Linked DNA regions of Caenorhabditis elegans. The protein of the gene in region 1 interacts with the protein of each later gene in a pairwise test. Each region holds a gene or a part of one and is shown in the gene's direction. Other genes may lie near its edges.

Region 1 (6,404 bases):
GGGCAGGAAATGAAAAAGAAGATCGTGCTGAAAAAGACGATAGTACATCATCTTGATCTGCTCCGGCTCCCCTCCCTGTCTGTGTGATTCTTTTTGTTTCTTTCAATTTTATCCTATTATTCCAATTCAACGCTGATGCATTACTATTGTTGTCATATTTCATTTCTGTCATTTTTTAATCAAATGTGCTGAACATTAAAAATTATCTGATCTCTTGAATCCCTTGTCTTGTTTTATGAATAAAAGTAATATATCAAAAAAAAAAGTCGAATGGAACTGCTGAAAGTGCTCCTTTTAGTGCGCATGATATTTTTCACACATATTTTTTTTGAAACGGTTTTGATCCGTGTCCAGTATCCATATTTGATTTTTTTAAAAGAAATTTTAAAAAGTTTGTGTAGACAATTCAATGTTTAGTTTTCCCTTTCAAGCTAGTTTTCACTAACAGGAAGATGCTATAAAACTATGAAACGAAAAACTTCAAGAAAAGGAAATTGAAAAATTGTGATCTACACAAATATTTTTCTAACATTTTCAAATGTGGATGATGAACACCAGACATTCGTGGCAACTGTAGACCAACTATTTTATAAAATGAGCCAGTTTGGCATGTGCTCACAAACTTTTTTATGGAAATTCAGAATATGGAAAACTACTTACTTTCTCTGAAAATAAGATTTTTTTAGTTGGGAAAATAGGACATTTTTGAAAGATTTTTCATTTGATGTTTTAACTTTCGGATTAATTGTGAGCACTTTTTAAATTGTTCCAACTGAAATTAAAAATATTTTTAGACAAGCTAAAGATTTTTCGATATCACTGAGTTTCAATTAAAAAATTTTGAGAACATGCCACACTGGTTCATTTTGTAGAAACTCACTTTGAAACTTATAGATTTGTGTAATAAAATACTCAGTTTAGAATTTATACACTGCTCCGAAAAAAGTCGGTCCAAAAACCTCTGTTATCGGTTTACGATCTTCTAGAAAAAGCGGTGGTATTTCTCAACACTGCGCACAGCTGTTTGGCAGGTGGAGGCATTTCTACTGGCAGAGGACCTCATTCTATAATGTCATCATTTCAAAGTTAGTCATTGTTTTCAAGCTACAATTTCTGGATTTTTGTCATCCTGATATATGATACTAGCTCATGATCAAGGCCAGTCGTAAGAATATAAAAACACAAACGAAGGTCAGATACTGAACATTTATCTGCCAACATTTGCGGGGTTCGTACTTTTCAACCATGTCTTTTGATTTCTCATATCTAAACTGATGATCCTTTCTTATTCTCACAACTGTCTATAAACATGTGTTAGAAAAAGCTTGTTCCTGCCTGTTCCGAGTATCAACGAGCAGCAATACTTGGCTATTAATGTGACCCTACGCACGCAACCCGATTGTATGCGTCTCTTCGAATCGCGCACTCTTCCCGGAGTCGTTACGTCTGCGGCCGTAGTCTGTGACCCCCCGCTTGGCTGTCGGCCAACCCGCCGCGCGCGCATTGCCTCTCGCTTTCTTCCACTCTTTTTAGTTGTACATTCTGCGCACTTTCTTTTTGCCCAGTAAATGCCCATATCACTGTGTGAGGAAAGTTGATTTTCAACAACTATTATCATTTTTAAGGTGTTGTTTATAACTATTACTATGTTTAAATATAATTCAAAACTTTATAGTTTAGCCGTATAGAAGTTGTATTGAATTTTTGGTTTCATTTTTACAACTAGTTTTATTTTTAAATGCAAACACCACAAAAGAAGCATTGTTGCTTTCCTCCGTTGCATCTCAAAACATCTGGTGTAATACATGTATCACATTTTGAAGCGTGAAATGTGCCGCTTCACTGAATTTTGTTATGTAGAGTAGTACATAGAAAGTCAAAAAAAAATCGAAATAACTAGTTCGAATTTTTTCCCATTTAAACACACGATATCCCAACCGATGTTTCTGAAGAATCTTTTTTCTGTTCCCAATCAATACTGATCATCAACACATCGGATACACGTCTCCCTCTGTGAGTTAGTCAGGGAAGCTGAGGCATCCTGTTGAATCTGTTGTGCAGCAGCACTCACACACATACTTTTGTTGTTCACTTATATCTCTATCTCTTGGTTCGTTTTCATTCTTTACACAAAATGCAATGGCAAAAGCTTCCACGCCACCGCCTCCGAGTTCTTCTTACACATATGTCAACCCGTCGCATCCTATACCTTTGGCACATTTGCCTCTTCCTTGAGGATTTCTTCTTTTCTACTGTTTCACAGCCCCCTCGTATAATACCTCCAGTGTTTTTACGATTCTTAGAATATGGAAATTTCTGTGTTTATGCAAAAATTTACTTTGCATATAACAAAATGTAGATATGAAATTCTGACTTTTTGTGCTCTTTTCGATTAACCAACATACCTAACCTATACACACTATATGCTTTCTCCGGCTTTCCCTTGTTTGTACATATTTGTCTTCATATTACTCGCTCGCTTTCTTTTCTTCTTTCCTACCCCCACCTTTTTCCTTACAAACCCATGGTCGTTAAACCATCCTGTGTGCATAGTGGCCAACTTTCAGTGGTTCAATAATAGATGGTGTGTGGCGGAATGGATTCCGACCACAACCATATCAACGGGGATCTCGCCCATGGCTTCGAGAACATGGTGTGCGTCCGTTGTAATGATGGTTTTTCGATGCAAGATCAGATGGTGAACTCTTCCGGGCAAGTATGGCATTCGGAGTGTTTTGTGTAAGTTTTTATAAGTTAGAATTAAGAGAACTCAAAAATTGCAAAAAAATTTTTAGATGTGCTCAATGCTTTGAGCCATTCCCAGACGGCATCTACTTTGAGTATGAAGGACGAAAGTACTGCGAGCATGACTTCCATGTTCTGTTCTCACCATGTTGTGGAAAATGCAGTAAGTATCTTTGAGAAGACACGCAGAGCCATAAATGTTTTATATTCTAGACGAGTTCATCGTTGGACGAGTGATTAAAGCAATGAATGCCAGCTGGCATCCGGGATGTTTCTGTTGTGAGATTTGCAATAAACAGTTGGCCGATGTCGGATTTTTACGGAACGCTGGACGGTAAGTTGGAGAGCGTAAACGAAGCTCGAAAGAATTTCAATTTTCAGAGCTCTCTGTCGCGAATGTAACGAACGGGAAAAGGCAGCAGGTCATGGACGATATGTGTGCCACAAATGCCACGCAATGATTGATGATGGACAACACATCAAATTCCGTGGAGATTCATTCCATCCTTATCACTTTAAGTGCAAACGTTGCAAGTAAGAATTTATCTTGTTTTACAGTATGAGTTGAATTTAAAAAATTTTCAGCAATGAATTAACGACAGCTTCTCGTGAAGTAAACGGAGAGCTCTACTGTCTCAGATGCCACGATACCATGGGTATCCCAATTTGTGGAGCATGTCACAGGCCGATTGAAGAGCGTGTCATCGCGGCACTCGGCAAGCACTGGCACGTGGAGCACTTTGTCTGTTCCGTCTGTGAGAAGCCATTCTTGGGACATCGTCACTACGAGAGAAAGGGACTTCCATATTGCGAACAGCACTTCCACAAGGTACTTGAAATATGAACAAGCAAACATTAATAAGTTTGTTGCAGTTATTCGGAAATCTTTGTTTCAAATGCGGAGATCCATGTTGCGGGGAAGTATTCCAAGCTCTTCAGAAAACGTGGTGTGTCAAATGTTTCTCCTGCAGTTTTTGTGATAAGAAACTTGATCAGAAGTGAGTGCAAAACTATTCATATGAACTTGATGAAAACAAATTAATGTATGCATTGCAGAACGAAATTCTATGAATTCGATATGAAACCAACATGCAAACGATGTTACGATCGGTTCCCCACAGAATTGAAAAAGCGCATCTCAGAAAGCTTAAAGGACCGCGACGTTGAAAATCAAAGAAGATCGATGAGTCCTGGACCAAAATAATAAAAAAGAAAGAAATAAAGGAGTCCCCGTAATTCATCAATTTCCATTAAAGAAGTAATACTTTCCAAATGCCATTGCTCATTTCTCTTTCCCATTGTTTTTAATACCTTGGTGCTAAAAAAAAACATCGTGAAAATTGTTATCAATCCGTTTTGTCTTTTAAATGCCTTATATTTCAAAACTATTTTTCGGTCACACAAAAATGTCATTGTACTCATTTCTAGCTCCATAATTGTCCTTCCCCTTCCCTTTCCCAGCTACTTTTTGATTCAGAAGCCTTCTGAAAACAATCATAACTTTCGACCAAATTTTTTGTGTTCCTATCCGCAAAAACTTTGCATCTTTTCTCGGGTGTCATTATTGCATAACTTGATTTCTGAATTTTTGTACTATTTTTTTGTTCAGAAAAAAAATATTGACTGTATTGAAACAAAATCGTATTGTAATATTGAATCCTTTTTTTCGGCATCAACAATCAATTTGTAATCAGTGATCAACAGGAAGGTGAGTCCATAGCGCCCGGAGAGATATTTTTGGTTCAACTTGAAACGTGTTAAGTGAGAATTATACTTTCCAGTGTCAAAATGTTTGTGAAATTTCTAAAAATACGAATGAGCCAGTAGAAATGATCGTATTGCACTTGAAATTCTCTTGGGAATTTATTTGTTGAAGCTTCAAAATGTGAAAGAAAAATTGGGCTATTCCAACAAAAAACGACTTTCATCGTTTTTTTGCTCAGCAAACTCTGTTTGATCATTTTACATAAAGATGAAATAGAGTCGATGATTTTTTTTTAAATTCAAAATGACAAAAAAAATTCAGTTTCCAAGAAGTTAATTTCGTTAAAAAATAAATTTTCAATTATCGATTATTTGAAGAATTTCCAACAAAATTCTTCTTTTTTATCAATTTTTTTTTTGGTTTTTTTTTGTGGAAAAGTCTAAAATTTTGTAAGATTCTGTTATTACTCAAAAATCACAAAAAAGGACAAAAAACTGACACAACTGTAAAAAACAAACATATCAAAATTAGGTAATTTAGTTACGCGGGTATGGGAAAATAATTCAATACTTTCTATTTTTTTTTGTTGCAAAATTTAACAATTAATTAAAAAATTCAGAAAAATTCAATGATTTTTTAAACTGTTGTGCTTATTATAGTGCAACTTTTTTCCAGTCATTGAGACCAAAGAATCCATAGATGTTATTCCATCTTTTTCCAAATTTTATTTATTGACAAATATCTAATTAGTTTAAAAATCTAAAATCAAACCTCAATTTACGGTAACTTTATTGAAAACTTGAAGCATGAGCAAGTTTAACAAAAATTTCAAATATTGACCCAATAATTACACATATTATGACCCATATGATTAACAAGTTGATCAATTGATAAAACTGATAAATAATGATCTATGTATTCTAAGGCACAATCTTTTCTGGCGGCATACTTTTCTCGCAATCAAAAAACATTTTATGATTTTTAATTAATTCGTGAGCAGAATCCAGCGCATCTTGAATGGAGGGATACATTTGATTTCTTCCAATATTCCCTTCTCCAATCAGGCCAGCATTTCCATATTGTCGTCGGAGTGATGCTGAAATATCCCAGCTAAGGTTATAATTGTTTAAAAATTTTAAACTCACACTTCAGATTTGCAAACAACAGGAGTATACGAATTTGTCGTAATTCTTCATTAATTTGCTTCACCGCAGCAATCCCCATAGAATCCGTATAAATCCAAGTGTGGCAGTCAAGAATGATTGCACTCCACTCAATATCCTCTTGGGAATCGCAACTCGCGCTTCTCTTTTTTGTGGTGGCTGATGTCGAATCGCGAACGTTATCGAGAAACTTCTCAACGTTTGCGAAAATCAGTGGTGCATCAAATCTAATGATTCGGAACGATGTTTCCTTGAAAAATAAGTTTTTGGAAAAAAGTTGTCAGAGGGAAATTAAATTTACCTTTGCCAAGCTATAGTGATTCATTGGTCTAAAATCATTTGGTCGGATTTGCCCAAGAAGTTTAATCGTAGGTCTGAAAAATGTCGAAAAGCTATGTCAATTTTGCGTGTTAAATCTACAAACTCACTGCTGAGATTGTATTGCAATTGTAAAAATTGCCGTGAAAATTCCAGCAGCTACCCCTTGCGCAATATCGGAACTTAGAGTCACAACAGCAGTAATGATCCAAATCCACTGAAATTATTTTGGTTTAAAAATTATTTTGGGTTATTTTAAGTGATTAAAAACCTACGAAGTCATGTTTGGAACACCTCCAAAGTCCTGGTAGTACTGTGCACTTTCTCAACATAGATTCTAGGACAACAATTACAATTGCTGACAGAATACAACTTGGAAGTGATGCTAGATAAGGACCGATTGTTGTAATCACAAGTGCCATGAAGCAAGCACTCGTTATTCCAGATAGTTGGGTTTTAGCTCCACTTCTTTC
Region 2 (6,685 bases), on another chromosome or scaffold:
TACCGTAGTACTTTAAAGGCGCACACCCGAAATTTTAATTTTTCGTGGCGAGACCCAAAATTGGCCGTGGAGCGGGTTTTCTGCGCTCTTGTGATAAATCCGAACTTGACAATACTAACATCAGAACTTCCAGTTGGTTTTTCAATTGCTGCATCATCGGCGGTTCTTCTATCAGATCTCATTGAATTGGGTCTCATCACGTAAAGTGCCATTGCCATAAATGTCCATAAAAGTGTCCACATCATCATTGTATTGCCACCTTCACGACTCAAACCATCATTGTCGCAACCCGTATCTGTGCAGTCCGCTTGCGAGTTTCGGAGCTGCAAAATTTTGATTTTTTTCAAAAACATTTTTTTTTTTTGGAGTTTTATGACGATTTGCAATGGGTATTCAGATACGATATGTTGTGATTTTGTGCGTCGGGGTCTCGACACGACAATTTTTTATTTTTTTGTTAACTGCGAAAAAGGCGTGCGCCTTTAAAGGGTACTGTAGTTTCAAAGTTTAGTTGCTGCGGAATTTTCATAGATTTTTAGTAGTTTTTCGACAAAAATATAATAATTTTTTGAACCAGAAGAAAGCGATAAAAACAGAAAAACGTTTGAAACTACAGTACTCTTTAAATGCGCACACCTTTTAGCATTTCATATCAAATTTATCGAGTCGAGAGCCGAAAATTTGTTTTTTTTAAATTGTATTGGCAAATTTCGCGCTAAACCCCGAATATTTCCATAATTATTTCCCTTACCATAGCCAAAAGTCTTTGCATAGCAGATTCATGATCGAAGAAACATTCACACGGATCACTCATTCTCTGAAATTGCGAGTTTCCGTCGTTGAACTTCACAGAATCGAGAAATGAAACGAACAGAGAACGTGGACGGGAAAATATAATAAAAAATAAAAAAAAGTGGGCAATGCAACGTTGCCTTACAAAAATATTGCTCAATGGGGAGAGATTGCGAGAGAAAACAGACAAAAAATCAGCTGGGAGACGACGGGTTGTGATGGGAAACCATGCACATTTTTCATGAATTTAATGACTTGAAGAAGTGAAAAAATAATGCTTTCAGAGCAAAAAATGGTGAAATTAGAATTTCGGCCAGTTTTTTGTTGTTTCCGGATTTTAGCCTAAATTGTGTTTTTTCTCTAAAAAATTACCAAAAAATGTTGCTGAAGAGTTGAAAAATTTTTGAGCATTATTACCCAATTTTGCGATTACGGTACCGGTACCAGGGTCTCGACACGACACATTTCTCTCAAATACATGTGACTTTAAATGTGTGCCTTTAAAGAGTACTGTAATTTTGAACTTTTGTTGTAGTTACGGAATTTTCATAGATTTTTTTGTAGTTTTTGTCACGAATTGTTAAAAATTTATTCGATTTCATTAAATAAATATATTTTTATTTAAAAAAAAAATTAAAATTGTTGAAAATTCTCTTTAAAGGCGTACACCTTTTTTGCAATTAATAAGAAAATTGTCGTGTCGAGCCCCGGGGCGCAAAAATCGCAAAATTTCACGTCTGGGTATTATAAAAATATAAAACCATTTTTTAGGCCGATAAATAATAATTAATCACCAAGTGTATCCTCCACACAGACTACAAAATAAGAAAAAGAGAACCTTTTGATCGGAAGCGGACACACATTCCGTATCTGTCGGGAGGGATAAACCGGTCTTTGATCTACTTTTTCTCGGGGATGTAATTCATTATAATTGACGACAACTGACAAGACTAATTAATTTACGAGCGTGTCGAAAATCGATAATTTTGATTATTTTTGGACATTAAAGCCTTTTTTCAGTCTAAAAATCGGTTTTTTGGCCAATTTTTAGAAAAAAAAAATTTCATTTTAAAAACTGACGTTGGCTGTTGGTTGGCAGGGAGGAAGAGACATCTTTTTTTGTTTATTTGGAATACTGTGAGAGAGAAAAGAGGGCTTAGAGATATTGATGACGTTTCATAAACGGATTTATGGGCACTGAACGGAAGGAAATTAATTTTTTTTTTTGCTTTTTTAAACTAAAAAGTGAAAAAAGAGAGAAAATGAAGCAAAAAAAAAAGACGACGAGACAATCGAAATGTTTACCTTTTTCTCTCTTTCTACTGAATTTTTTCTTATCGCTTTTTGCCATCTTAAGACAAAATGATTAAAAATAATTAAAAATCAATAAATGCTGCCTTCAGTAACCTTAAAGGCGCGCCTCAAGAACTTAAAATTAGTAGTAGTTCGTTGCGAGACCCATCACTTAGATTTTACTTGTGCCCCTTTAGAGGTGTACCAAAAGACGAACATTTTGAAGAAAAAATTTGTTTTTTTAGATTAAAAATAAGAAAAAAGGAAAAAAAAATTTGTGTAAATCTAATATCTAAAATTTTTTGATGCCGAAGATTAAAATTTAGAAATTTAAAATCTTTAAAAAATAGGAAAATCTAGAAAAAACACACAAAACCCAAACCTTTCAAAAAATAGAATTGATCGCAATATGGGCCCGAAAAAAATCAATCAATAAAAATGTAACCTTCTCCTCAAGGAGGATCCTCCTTCCGCCCATCGCTCAATGAACTTTTCACTGCTTCTCATCGTTCTCTTGGCAAACTGAAATGTCTCCAGCACCCTGCGTCTCTCCAACAGTGTAATACTCTCTCGCTGTACACACTTTCCTTTTCCCCCCATCTCACCCCACACACGTCCATTCCGCCTACGATTCGCTGTCATTTCTTCTTTTTCTTTCGTCTTTCGTCCCCTCTCTCAACAAATATATGTCTCTGTGTCTTTACAGGTTCATGTACTATCTCGTTGGAATCCCCTTGAATGGTATTCCAGCTGTGTTTCCTTTTTTTCCCATTTTTTTGCTAGTTCTTCCGCAATTATATTTAATAGAGGATTAGAAAGTGAGAAAGTGAAAAAGATCTTTGGAATTGCTATTTCTTCAAATTTTTGTGTCGATGCACCATGTCAAAGTATGAAAATAGTCATATTTAACACTGATTTTATCGTTTATCAACTCGCGAAGCACCATTTCCTATCCACAAAAAAAGGATGTAAAAAATTAAAATTTCAGGTAAAAATGCCAAAGGACAAGAAGAAAGACGAAGTGACAGAGGTTGAGCATGTCGATCGGAATATTTCGTCGTTTTCTCAAATTTCACATCTCAGTAAGCATTTTTTTGAGCTCTGCGCCACATTTGACGCGCAAATCTTCAATTATTCCATGGTTTCGTATGCATTAGAAATTGATCTGGCGGAGCAGCAGCTGTTGCTCTGTGCTCAGCTCCTCCGCGGGAAAATCGTAAATAGAATTTGCGCGTCAAATACGGTGCATTGGGTCTGTAGATCAAAATAAATGTGTTGCTTCTTAGGCTGAGGCTTAGGTTCAGGCTTGGGCTTAAGCTTAGGCTCAATCTTAGGCTTAGTCCTAGGCTTAGGCTCAGGCTGAGGGTTAAACTTAGGTTTAGGCGTAGGCGCAGGCGCAGGCGCTGGCTCAGGATTTGGCTTAGGCTTAGGCTCAATCTTAGGCTTATGTTAGGCTTAGGCTTACGCTTAGGCTTAGGCTTACGCTTAGGCTCAGACTTAAGCCTAAGCGGGATAAATTTTCGAAATCTTCCAAAAATTGAATTCCAGTCGATGCGGAAATCATCACTCGTCTCACTTTGAGCCACAACAAGCTCACTTCAGTACCACCAAATATTGCGGATTTGGTCAGTCTTCAGGTAAGCCAACCCTACATCAAGGTAATCTTCTTAATCCAATCTTTAAAAAATTGCAGTCCCTGAATTTGTGGAATAACCAAATCGAGGATCTACCTCCATCGATTTCATCTCTTCCAAAACTTCGAATTCTTAACGTCGGAATGAACAAGCTGTCGATTCTGCCACGTGGATTCGGATCCTTCCCAGAGCTGGAAATTCTTGATTTGACCTACAACAATTTGAGTGAACGATCATTGCCTGGAAACTTTTTCTTTATGCGTAAGTGGGGGAAAAATTGGAATTTTAAATTCTTGTTAGGACTGGAATAAGTTTGATCTACAATAAATGCGGGAACGTTTCGCCCAGAAAAATGTGATGTTGTACACTACATCAGTTAAAAAAGCTGAATCTGGGGCATCCGGTGTTCCCTTCTCCGAAAAAACCTCTCCCAATTTCCAGAAACCCTCCGCGCCTTGTACCTCGGAGACAATGATTTCGAAATGCTCCCCGGAGACGTCGAAAATCTTACAAATTTGCAAATCCTCGTGCTCCGTGAAAACGATTTGCTCACTCTTCCAAAAGAGCTGGGAAAGCTGACACGTCTCCGTGAGCTTCATATTCAGGGAAATCGTCTGGCTATGATTCCACCAGAGCTCGGAAATTTGGAGTTGGTCGGGTCAAAGCAGGTGCTCAGATTGGAGCACAATCCATTTATTCCGAGAATTGAGGTACATATATATTTTATTTATTTTTTATTTAAAAATTTTCTGTGATTTTAGGAGCAATTCGAGGCCAACGGAGCCGCCGGAGTCTGGGCTCACATCAGAACTGACGACTATCGATATTTCTTCGGTCGTCAGGAACCATCGTCAACTCCAGTTCCACCAAAAAGAAATAAGGAGAAGAAAGTATCGAGAAAAGGAATTCAACAAGCCTAAAATTGCCATTTCAACCCAAAAAATTTTTTGACCTACTCATGGTGCTGCCTAAATAATGCTTTACTTTGTTCAATATTGAATTGAATTCAATCATTTAATTGTGCCTTTTTACACTGCAAATAAGAAATACTAATAAAATTCTATCGAGACAAAAATCATCATTTTATTCAAAAATTATGCAAAAACTTGTTTGGATTTTGCGTTGGTCAGCAGAGAATTCATGGTAAGACTAGATTATGTAATAAAAAATTAATAAAATTATGCGTGATAGGAAGGGGAATTGGGGAACCAAAATATGACAGAAGCCAGGAAAACCAGTAAAGGGAATTTTTAACAAATTGAAAAATAATCGAAACATAATAATATTAGCAGAATTATTGTGTCTTTGATAGTTTTCGGTGCAATACTGGTGTCAGACTGCCCCATTACGGTTTGACCTACAAAAAATGCGGGAATTTTTGCATGACGGCAGCACGTCCTCTAATCATGCAAAATCAGTTGAGAACTCTACTCCCGCATTTTTTGTAGATCTTCGTAGATCAAACCGAAATGGGACATTCTGACTACTCGGCCACTGGGATGAATTAATTATGACAGCCGTCATTGGCACCAGTCACGATGCACCATATCTTACGCGCAAATTCAAAACTTCACCAGTACCTATTAAACACACAATAAAATAGATCCTAATGTTTAAAAATCGAAAAGCACGAAAAAACGCGTCTCAAGTGACTTTTCCTCTTCTTCTTCGGCGGGTACGGTAGATGTGTGAAGCTTCTCGAAATTGAGCATTTCTCATGATTTGCGAACATTGGATTTATATGGGATTCTGGTATTGATGAGATTGTTGTGGTTGTTGAAGGGTTTCCAGTTGAAAAAAGATTTCGGAGAGATGAGTAGAAGCCTGTCGACGAGCGAACTTTGTAGTCGTCCTGGAAAATTTTATTTATTTGGAGTTCTGAGAAGTGATTTTTGCACGTGGTGCCAGAGTTTCCAATTTCGGCTTGATCTACGTAGATCTAAAAAAAATGCGGGAGAAGAGACGCAGAATTTTCAACTGATTTAAATACAACCTGATACCCACGTGATGTCAGGCTGTCTCAATACAGTTTGATCTACAAAAAATGCGAGAATTTTTTGCCCAAAAGAATGTGACGTCAGCACGTTCTTAACCATGCGAAATCAGGTAAGATAATCTCCCGCATTTTTTGAAGATCAAACCGAAATGGGAATTTCTGACTCCACGTGGACACCGTGTGTTTTTGTGCATTGAATTTTTGAATTTGTGCGGAAAATTTGGACCATCGAATAATCAATGCATCAGATTTCACGCGCAAGTTTTTGATTGACTGAAATATTGTCTCCAGATCTTTTGAACTTGTTTTTTTCGTTATTTCGAGCCAGAAAAAGTGTAGTTTGTCAAACAACAAAATATTTAGATATTAGGAAAATAATTTTGAAAAACTCTGGTCAAAAACTTTTTGGGATAGCCCTGACTGGCCTAAAATCTCACCTGAAACTTCAACAGCTCATCAATCTCCACAAAGCCCACTGAAGAGGCTTTTCTGCTATGACACGGTGCTACGTCATCCGCGTGTGACTCCTGTAATTAAATCGATAACTTATTATGTTTCTCCGCTTATCAGTTTGTGCTCCCCGAAATACTAAAAAATCACAAATTTCACTGATCAATGAGCTCTTGACTCATTCGTAATGAAAAAAATCAATTAAAAATTCATATTTCATGAATCATACTTACCATATCAGGCGACAGTGCCTGTTCGATATACTGTAGTTTCAGGCGATTTCTCAAATGAATCGGATGATTTCTCGGCGGTATTTTTGGCGGTACTGATGCATCTTGTGAACTCTCGTTCTGCATTTGTGCGTGAAAGATTTGTGATAAAACGTGTTGGTGGAATTTTGAATTTTTTAGGGCTGAAAAATTAGAAAAATAATAATTTTTTTCATAAAAATCTAGAAAAACGAGTGCTTAAAAGAAAAATGGGACAATGATGATAAGAAGAATGTTTGATAGATTTCCGG
Region 3 (7,425 bases), on another chromosome or scaffold:
GATTTTCTGAAATCACTACAGGATTTTCTTTGGGCTTCACGATTGAGAAAATATTCAAAATGAATGAAAACTGCTCAAGAAGTAATACAAATAATTCAAAATAAATTTGAGAATGCCGAACTTAAAGTTTTTAACATTTCTGAAAAAAATTAAAAAACTATATCCTCCACTCGATATTTGAGCAAGTGCGCGACTAGTTCTGAAAACTATAAAATTTTTAATTATCCGTTTTTACCTCGAAGCACTTACAATTATAAATTGCAAACCTTTTTAGAATGTCCTGTTTTTTTTTCTATATTTACTTGGAATTTTGTCGGATGTGATGTGTTCAATTTCACAACGGAATCTTTTTAACTTTTAATTTTATACCAAGCTGTAAGACAAAAGTAAATTGCCTTTTTTAGTCAACTTTGCAAACTGCTGCCTGCATTTGCTTTTAGCTATGAGATATTAAACTCTGAAAGAAGCTTGAAATTACAGTGAACCTAACTATCCTCTGATTCCATATTGCCAAAAAGTTGCTTGCCACATTCCCAAGTTCGCCCTCAAAAAAAGTTTCAATTGACAAAGGGCATATTCCCTTGATGCATTGAATATTATTCCAGTGACACGTAGCCTTTCACCTCGAATGTTTTTGTGTCTCTGGTACCGCAAATCTCATTGTCCATTTCCGTTGATCTAATCTAATTCATCATTTTTACCCATCTGGTGTGCAGTTTTCCGGTGCGGTTGTCGGCAGGAAAAGACAAGAGTGCTCTTTTATTTTCATAAATCAATTAATTTTCTTTGCCTTCCTCAGCCTCTGACTTCTGAGTCCAAAAATGGAAAGGCTCGGTTTTTCGGTTTTCAAAACTTGGAAGAAACGTATTTTTGTCGCTTAACCAACTTTAAACTTTTTCAAAAAAAAAACCCCGAAAGATAATATGCTCCATGTCTACAAGGCTTTCAAAGTGTCCAATTTCTGTTGAAAGTTCCCTGTTCTTAGTCTCTATTCCAAAGCACAGAGCAAAAGTTCAGAGTAGGTCAAAAGAGCCGCCGGAGATAAAAAAGATTTCCAAAATACCTGAGGCAGTTGTCATTTATCAGTGATACACGATGAACGATGTTCAAAGGCTGAGTGTCACTTGGACTAATTGCCACACACGCACACTCACAACTCTTTTCATCCAATTCTTCTTTTTCTCACATTTATATGCCAATGGCCTCTTTTTTTGTGCGTTTTTCTTATTGAAGTAATAAATCAAAAAATCGAAATAAGAAAAAGAGTCTTATTGTGATGCGTCAGATAAATAAACAGGTTCCTCTCCTCCCCCGTTTGCAAATGAGCACTCCATTTGAGAGCATATCCACTTGCCGTTCTCTCTGACTCTTTCGACACCTTTCTGTGTTTTGAGATTACATTGGATCTTGGATCTGTTCCAGATTTATAGCTTTGTTTTTTCTTTTCTCACAATTTTCCAATTGACAAGTCACATAAAATAATAGGGAACTGCTATTTGAAAGACTTTTTGGTTTTTGATTTCATATTGCCTAAATGGCTTCGAGGCTAGTGATTTTTGGCGAAATAAAAACCTAATTTTTTTAAATCGTGAGCTCTTTTTGTTTCAACTTTGCAAAAAGTTGGCAATCCCGAAACTAAATTATTTTAAATGGTGAACATGCTACATAATTTTACTACTTTTCTAAAAAAATATATCATTGGTATTCCCCACAAAATTATTTTTTATTGCGTTCATCTATTCAAAAATGGTACTTCTAAAAAAAGGGTTTAACATCAGCCCAAAAAACGTAAAATAAGCTGATAAGCATTATTGACACTTTCCAGCATTGCCCTCATTCATGAACTCTGTCCGTAAGAGTTGTTCATCTATTTGCACATTTCTTATTCAGAATATAGAACTAGTGAATCTTTCCGATAATCCTCCAACCACTTATAAACTGAACCGAAACCGAAACAAGGCAATAAACATTTGGTGAAGATGAGCTTGTTCTTCTTTATTCTGTGGAGACCGTTTAGAGGTGGATAGCTTTTTTTCTAAGAATACAGTTGTTAAAAAACTAGTTTTATAACTTTTGATACAATTATTTTCAATTTTTTAAATAAGGTTTCTACCGTTTTTCTTCTATTACTATTATGCCTATAATACCTTTAAAAAAATAGCTACTTACCTATTTTGAACGGAGGTTTTTTTGTTATTATTATTCTTGTTCGATGATTCCAGTTAATTCATGAAAAGCCAAGAAATTGAATTTTTGGAATTGATAAACTACTAATTTCAGATGAGCAACCAAAAATTTTAAATGCATTGGTCTAGCAATAACGACGGTCTTTGAAAATTATCTTACTATTAGCAATCATATTAATAAAGGAATTGCGGTAATTCAAAAGGGAGCATCTTCCTCCGATTGCTCTTTGGCAACACAGTTTACCTCTCTCGTTTGGTATTAAAACTCCGCACGGGCCGTATTAGGAGTGTAAATACGGGACCAAGTAGTGTGACGAACCCTGCGCACAAGTATCAAGTTGACTCTTCTTTCTTACATTCCTACATTACCACCACCACCACTTTCAATCTTCCGTTTGGTATTCACTGACTTCAACATCTTCTTATTGTGCCAATTTATTTGTTCCTTCGCGTGGTTCAGAAGGTTTCTGAACGCTAGAGCGACGTTTCTTCGGTCAATCCCCCTATAATTACTTGTATTTCCGATGCGATCATATTCCCACAATTTTCTGAATTTCCCATGTTTCATCGGCTTTGAATAGAAACCGAATAGAATTTGACCAGAAAACAAGACGCAAAAAAGTGGAACATTAATGCTATAATTTGATGAAAAACCTTGCTTGTGGAACTTTGTTTCAAGTTTTTACCCTAGGTATCCATTTCTTCGGTTTCAAGTCCAGTTAATAGGATTAAAGCAAGAAATCAAAAGATTTATTTTGAAACTGCCAACTTCCTTTACCGTTCAATCTTTCAATTTTCTTTCGTTTCTTTTACCGATTTAAATCTTACTCTCTCTGAAGGTGCAATGTCGATTGGATTTTCCTGGTTCCGCAGGAGATTCAGCTACTACGAAGATAAGCAACAGTTCTCTGAATGTGCAAATGACGATGAGCCGACTGTTCAATTACAAGGTGTGATTTTTTTTTAACGTAAAATAGTTTTTTATTGTGATTCGATTTTTTTCATATTTGTCAAACTCTCTTTTGTTTTCAATATGTAGTATTCAATTAGAAAAGCAAGCTAAATTTTTTTAAAATGGCTAAAGTTTATCAGATATTAATAATTTCTACTCTCAAAAAACTTAAAAAAAACATTCCCCTAAACTCGACATTTTGAATAAAATTTCGAAAAAAATCCATATAGGAATAAAAATTACTGCCTTCGTGCCTACCAGCTATTTCAAACTTACATACATTGAAGAATAAATACCCAATCCTTGTAAATTTGACCTCAAATGTGACGTAGCTGAGCTTCTGTCTGTTCCATGTTTTGATTCGTAGGGGAGTCGATATTCAACGGGTCATGAAAAATTATAAATTTTATTTTATTTTTCATAACATTTTTATGTTTCAGATTTTATCTAGGTAAATTTAGGAAGAACATATCGTACTGAGTAAACCATTTGAATATTTTCATGAGCATGTTTTGAAGTTTTTCAAACGAAATGCAAAAATCACCTGCAAAACTTTTACCAACTCTTTTCCCATTTTCCAAGATCTTCCGAACTTTGAGACCCACTCATTTAAAGTCCTCACCAAACATCGGTATTACAAGACCAATTTTCGCATCTCCCGATTAAAACTTTAGAAATACATACAAAAAAAGAAACTTTCAATTTCCAAGTCCGATCATCAAGGCACATATTGTTTTGTTTGTTTTACATCCTCTTAACCTGGCTCTCGTGTAACGTGTCGATGTTTACTACAGTTTCCTTTTTTTCTTTAGTTGAGATGACACACATCGAATCATTTGCTTTTCTGATTTTCACCTCTTTTTGATCGAACCATCGCAGTTTTTATTTTATTTTTTGCCCTCTCTCAATTATTATTTACTAAAGAGAAATTGGAACGTGAGATTGTTTAGAAAAAAAAACTGTTTGATTTTATTGAGAAGCTTGTTTGATATGTTGGAAGGAACCTCAAGTGTTCATAAGATTTAGTAGTTGATGAGAACTTGAGGAAATGAGATATATAGAGAGAAGGTGGAGGAAAAGTTTACAAATTATCATTTTGTACGTGTTCGTGTTGTTACAATTCAATTTCATTTCTCATAATCATATCCTTCTCGCTTGTTGCAAAATCCGCATGACCTAATACTAAATCCAATTTTAGGAAACATAACCTCATCCTTTGTTTAGTTTTCTCTTCCTTCCTAAATGTCAATATTTTATTCACAACCTAGCGATTTTGTTTAGCAAGGCATTTTGGGAGCTTGGAAAATTTAGTTTCTCTAAATTCTACAGTCCTCCAACATTCATGTTAATAGTCTTAATTTAACAAAACACTATATCCCAAATTTTATTGTTACACTCATTTAAGTTTTTTTTTCCCATTTTATAAATTTTTTCATTCCATTTTTTCTGAAAACATACAAAATCTAAACAATTATTTATTTCAATTTAGTCAAGTCATCATTTAAACCTACATATACATTTAACTCGAAATTCCAAAATTTCCGAATTTATATAATAAATCCAAATAGTTCACATCATCATAATAATTCAACAAAAGTTGACCTCAAACGCCACCCATGCGCATTTTCATGGATGCCATGCGTATGGTTATTATTATTATGATTTTTATTATGTCCATCATCACACTCCGAAACTCTTTTGATGCCCTTCCGCAGATTCACGCGCCTATTTAAATGTTGACGCGGCAACGGTTTTATTATTGTTTCGATTAGGAAAATTCTTATGTAATCAGCCGATTGCGTAGAATATGAACATTTTGCATTGCATTGTTTTTGTTTGGTTTCAAGAATTTTCTGAAGCATAGGTTACATCATCGTGTAATTAGTTGAAATTCAAAATACAAGGTTTTCCATCACCAAATTTTGAAGACAAAAAGTGCACCACAAAATAATTCTGCCAGATCATAGTCAGTAGCTATAGTTTATAAATTGTAAATTCCATAAAAAATTGACCCAAAGTTACATTTTCTTCATTGTATAGACGAAAAACAAGTGTAAATGAGTTCGTAATCTAAACAAATTGAGTGTAGCAAAGTACTTGGACAACGACTACAACCTCCCATCCAGAAAATGTCATTTGTCAGTTTTCGATGGCATCTTTCCCCCCCCCTCCATTTTCCTTCTTCTCTCAGAATCCTAGAATACCCATCAATGTCTTTTAGTCAAGATATTTCTCGGCCCATTTTCTTGAATGGAATCATGCCGCATTTTCTCAATGCTTTTTTGTTCGTCCTTTCCCTCCCTTCATTCAATGCTCAAAGTGTCAAATATTAGAAGCCACAATTACACCACAATGTGTGTGCGCGGAAAAGTGTGGAGGAGAACATCTGCGACTAATGTTATTCAATAATCTCTCTTCTAATACAAAATATTTGAATATTTGTTATCTGCTGGGTGGCAATGGCGGCGGCTCCGGTGAAAAGCCGGCACTCGAGAATTGTTTGGAGATAAACGATATTCACATTTTCAAAAAATAATTGTTGATTATATTTGATTTCGAATTCAAACCTGCCACTTCAATTCTGTTGCTCCTTGAATCTTTTTCAAGCCAAAAATTTCAATTTGTACATCACCAAATGTTTGATAACACCAAAGACATCCAAGTTGTTAATAACTGAACTTTGTTATTTTGCACAAAATTTCAGAAGAAATATTTTGATTATTTTTTGATACTTTTTGAAGTGCTAGAATCAACATTGAATTTGAGCTAGACAAATGACCAAACCATCAAATCTCTTAGAAAATAAAAAAGTGAAGTCGTATTGACCATATAAACAGTGAACTTATTATTGCTTTGCACGACATTTAAGCACAAATATTTTTGAAATTATATTGTTGATTGCTCAATATATCACCAAAATATCTATATATCCTTGCCACTGAGAATTATTATAAAACTGATTTCGAAATATTTCTTCTCATCAATCGTGAAGAATAAATATAACACCAAGATTCCAGTATTTTATTTTAAGATTTAGAGCAATATATTGTTGTTGTTGTTCTTAATTCTCTGATTGCCTCCTCATCTACTACTCGGTTTTTCGTATTGGCACCATGATCTCGCCCCTTGCGAGTCTGGCGTGATGATTGTGTATTTCTACGCGACAGTTGCGTAAGATGTGCGTGTGATATCCGAGAATTAGGCGGCAAGAGATCAACTGAAAATCAATAGACGCAGAGAAAGTATCGGAAAGCCACACGGACTCTCACACGATGCCGGTTGAAAATGATATAACCGCTCCTTCTGGATTTTGATTTATTCTTCAGCTCATTGATCTATACTTTTCTGTTTAAATTATTATTTTGAACCTTAAAACATCCATTTTACTGTATGTAGCCTTTACAGTTCTAAATTTTGCGCTGTCTTTTCCAAAAAAGTGTGTTTCGAGAAAACAAAACCACATTTAAATCAAAACAAATAAATTATAGATATCAATTCAAGGAGTACGGTTCAATTTCTTATAATCCGAACTTGAAAATCGCCCGAATCACTTAAGATCAACTCTTGGAAAATATACTTGAGCAATCCCGGAAAAAACCTCTGAGCTGCTCCACTCCGTTCATTTTCTTTGCACTTGTCTCTTTCTCGTTCAATACTTTTGTCATTTTCTCTTTTCAACTGATAACTGTTCCAAATCCTCAGTTTCCATCCGGTTGTTTTGACGATTTCTTCTCAATTTCTTCGTTTTGACCGATGACAACCTTTATTTTTATTGCGATTTGTTATGTGAAATAGAAACGATGATTATGGGCAAATCTATAAAAGCAAGAAGAAACGATGAATGTCCTTCATATTTTCTTTTCTTTCGGAATCTTTTTACTTTCCCGAGACTACTGATAATCTCATTAACCGGAGTGGAATGGAAGGGAGCGAATGAACTGTCAGGATATTGTACTTTACGTTCCTCTTTATCTTTTTATCTTCTCACCTGACTGAACAAAACACATTCAATTATATATAGTGTTCCCTTATATTTATATATTTTTCATCTCAGAATTTGTATTGAGAAATTTTTTTGAAGCTAGTATTCCTTGCAAATATAAAAACCTTTTTTTCAATTGGACTTTTGAAGCTAAAAATAATAATAAATGACCATTTCATTATCAAGCCGGAATGAAGAAAATTCGGAACTTGGCGTTAAGCTTTCGAAAATAGTAACTTGCCAGTGATTAGGTATTTATTAAAACTGATAAAATCTAGGTGAAGCTCTTTTGAAACTATATTTAA

What was found. Proteins that work in one complex are often made in the same cells at the same time.
Region 2: the proteins of unc-97 (region 1) and rsu-1 interact in a two-hybrid assay, tested with the Caenorhabditis elegans proteins (2 studies listed by BioGRID).
Region 3: the proteins of unc-97 (region 1) and uig-1 interact in a two-hybrid assay, tested with the Caenorhabditis elegans proteins (one study listed by BioGRID).

Annotation. Positions count from the first base shown.
Region 1 is NC_003284.9:5,590,566-5,596,969, forward strand, and holds unc-97 (LIM domain-containing protein unc-97), read left to right. Parts: upstream 1-2,567; 5' UTR 2,568-2,596; coding exon 2,597-2,739; intron 2,740-2,795; coding exon 2,796-2,908; intron 2,909-2,958; coding exon 2,959-3,079; intron 3,080-3,126; coding exon 3,127-3,279; intron 3,280-3,330; coding exon 3,331-3,574; intron 3,575-3,618; coding exon 3,619-3,743; intron 3,744-3,801; coding exon 3,802-3,949; 3' UTR 3,950-4,400; downstream 4,401-6,404. Other genes in the region: sulp-2 (STAS domain-containing protein), read right to left, coding at 5,371-5,546, 5,596-5,863, 5,915-5,987, 6,042-6,148, 6,207-6,404. UniProt on the Caenorhabditis elegans protein: Component of an integrin containing attachment complex, which is required for muscle development and maintenance. Probably function in adherens junction.
Region 2 is NC_003281.10:3,468,930-3,475,614, forward strand, and holds rsu-1 (Ras suppressor protein 1), read left to right. Parts: upstream 1-3,073; 5' UTR 3,074-3,079; coding exon 3,080-3,167; intron 3,168-3,633; coding exon 3,634-3,722; intron 3,723-3,778; coding exon 3,779-3,980; intron 3,981-4,160; coding exon 4,161-4,429; intron 4,430-4,480; coding exon 4,481-4,639; 3' UTR 4,640-4,790; downstream 4,791-6,685. Other genes in the region: smim-14 (Small integral membrane protein 14), read right to left, coding at 120-323, 752-814; C34C12.9 (uncharacterized protein), read right to left, coding at 5,326-5,571, 6,153-6,242, 6,399-6,521.
Region 3 is NC_003283.11:13,287,998-13,295,422, reverse strand, and holds the start of uig-1 (Protein vav), read left to right. Parts: upstream 1-3,030; coding exon 3,031-3,136; intron 3,137-4,706; exon of another isoform or gene 4,707-4,856; intron 4,857-6,246; exon of another isoform or gene 6,247-6,395; intron 6,396-7,425.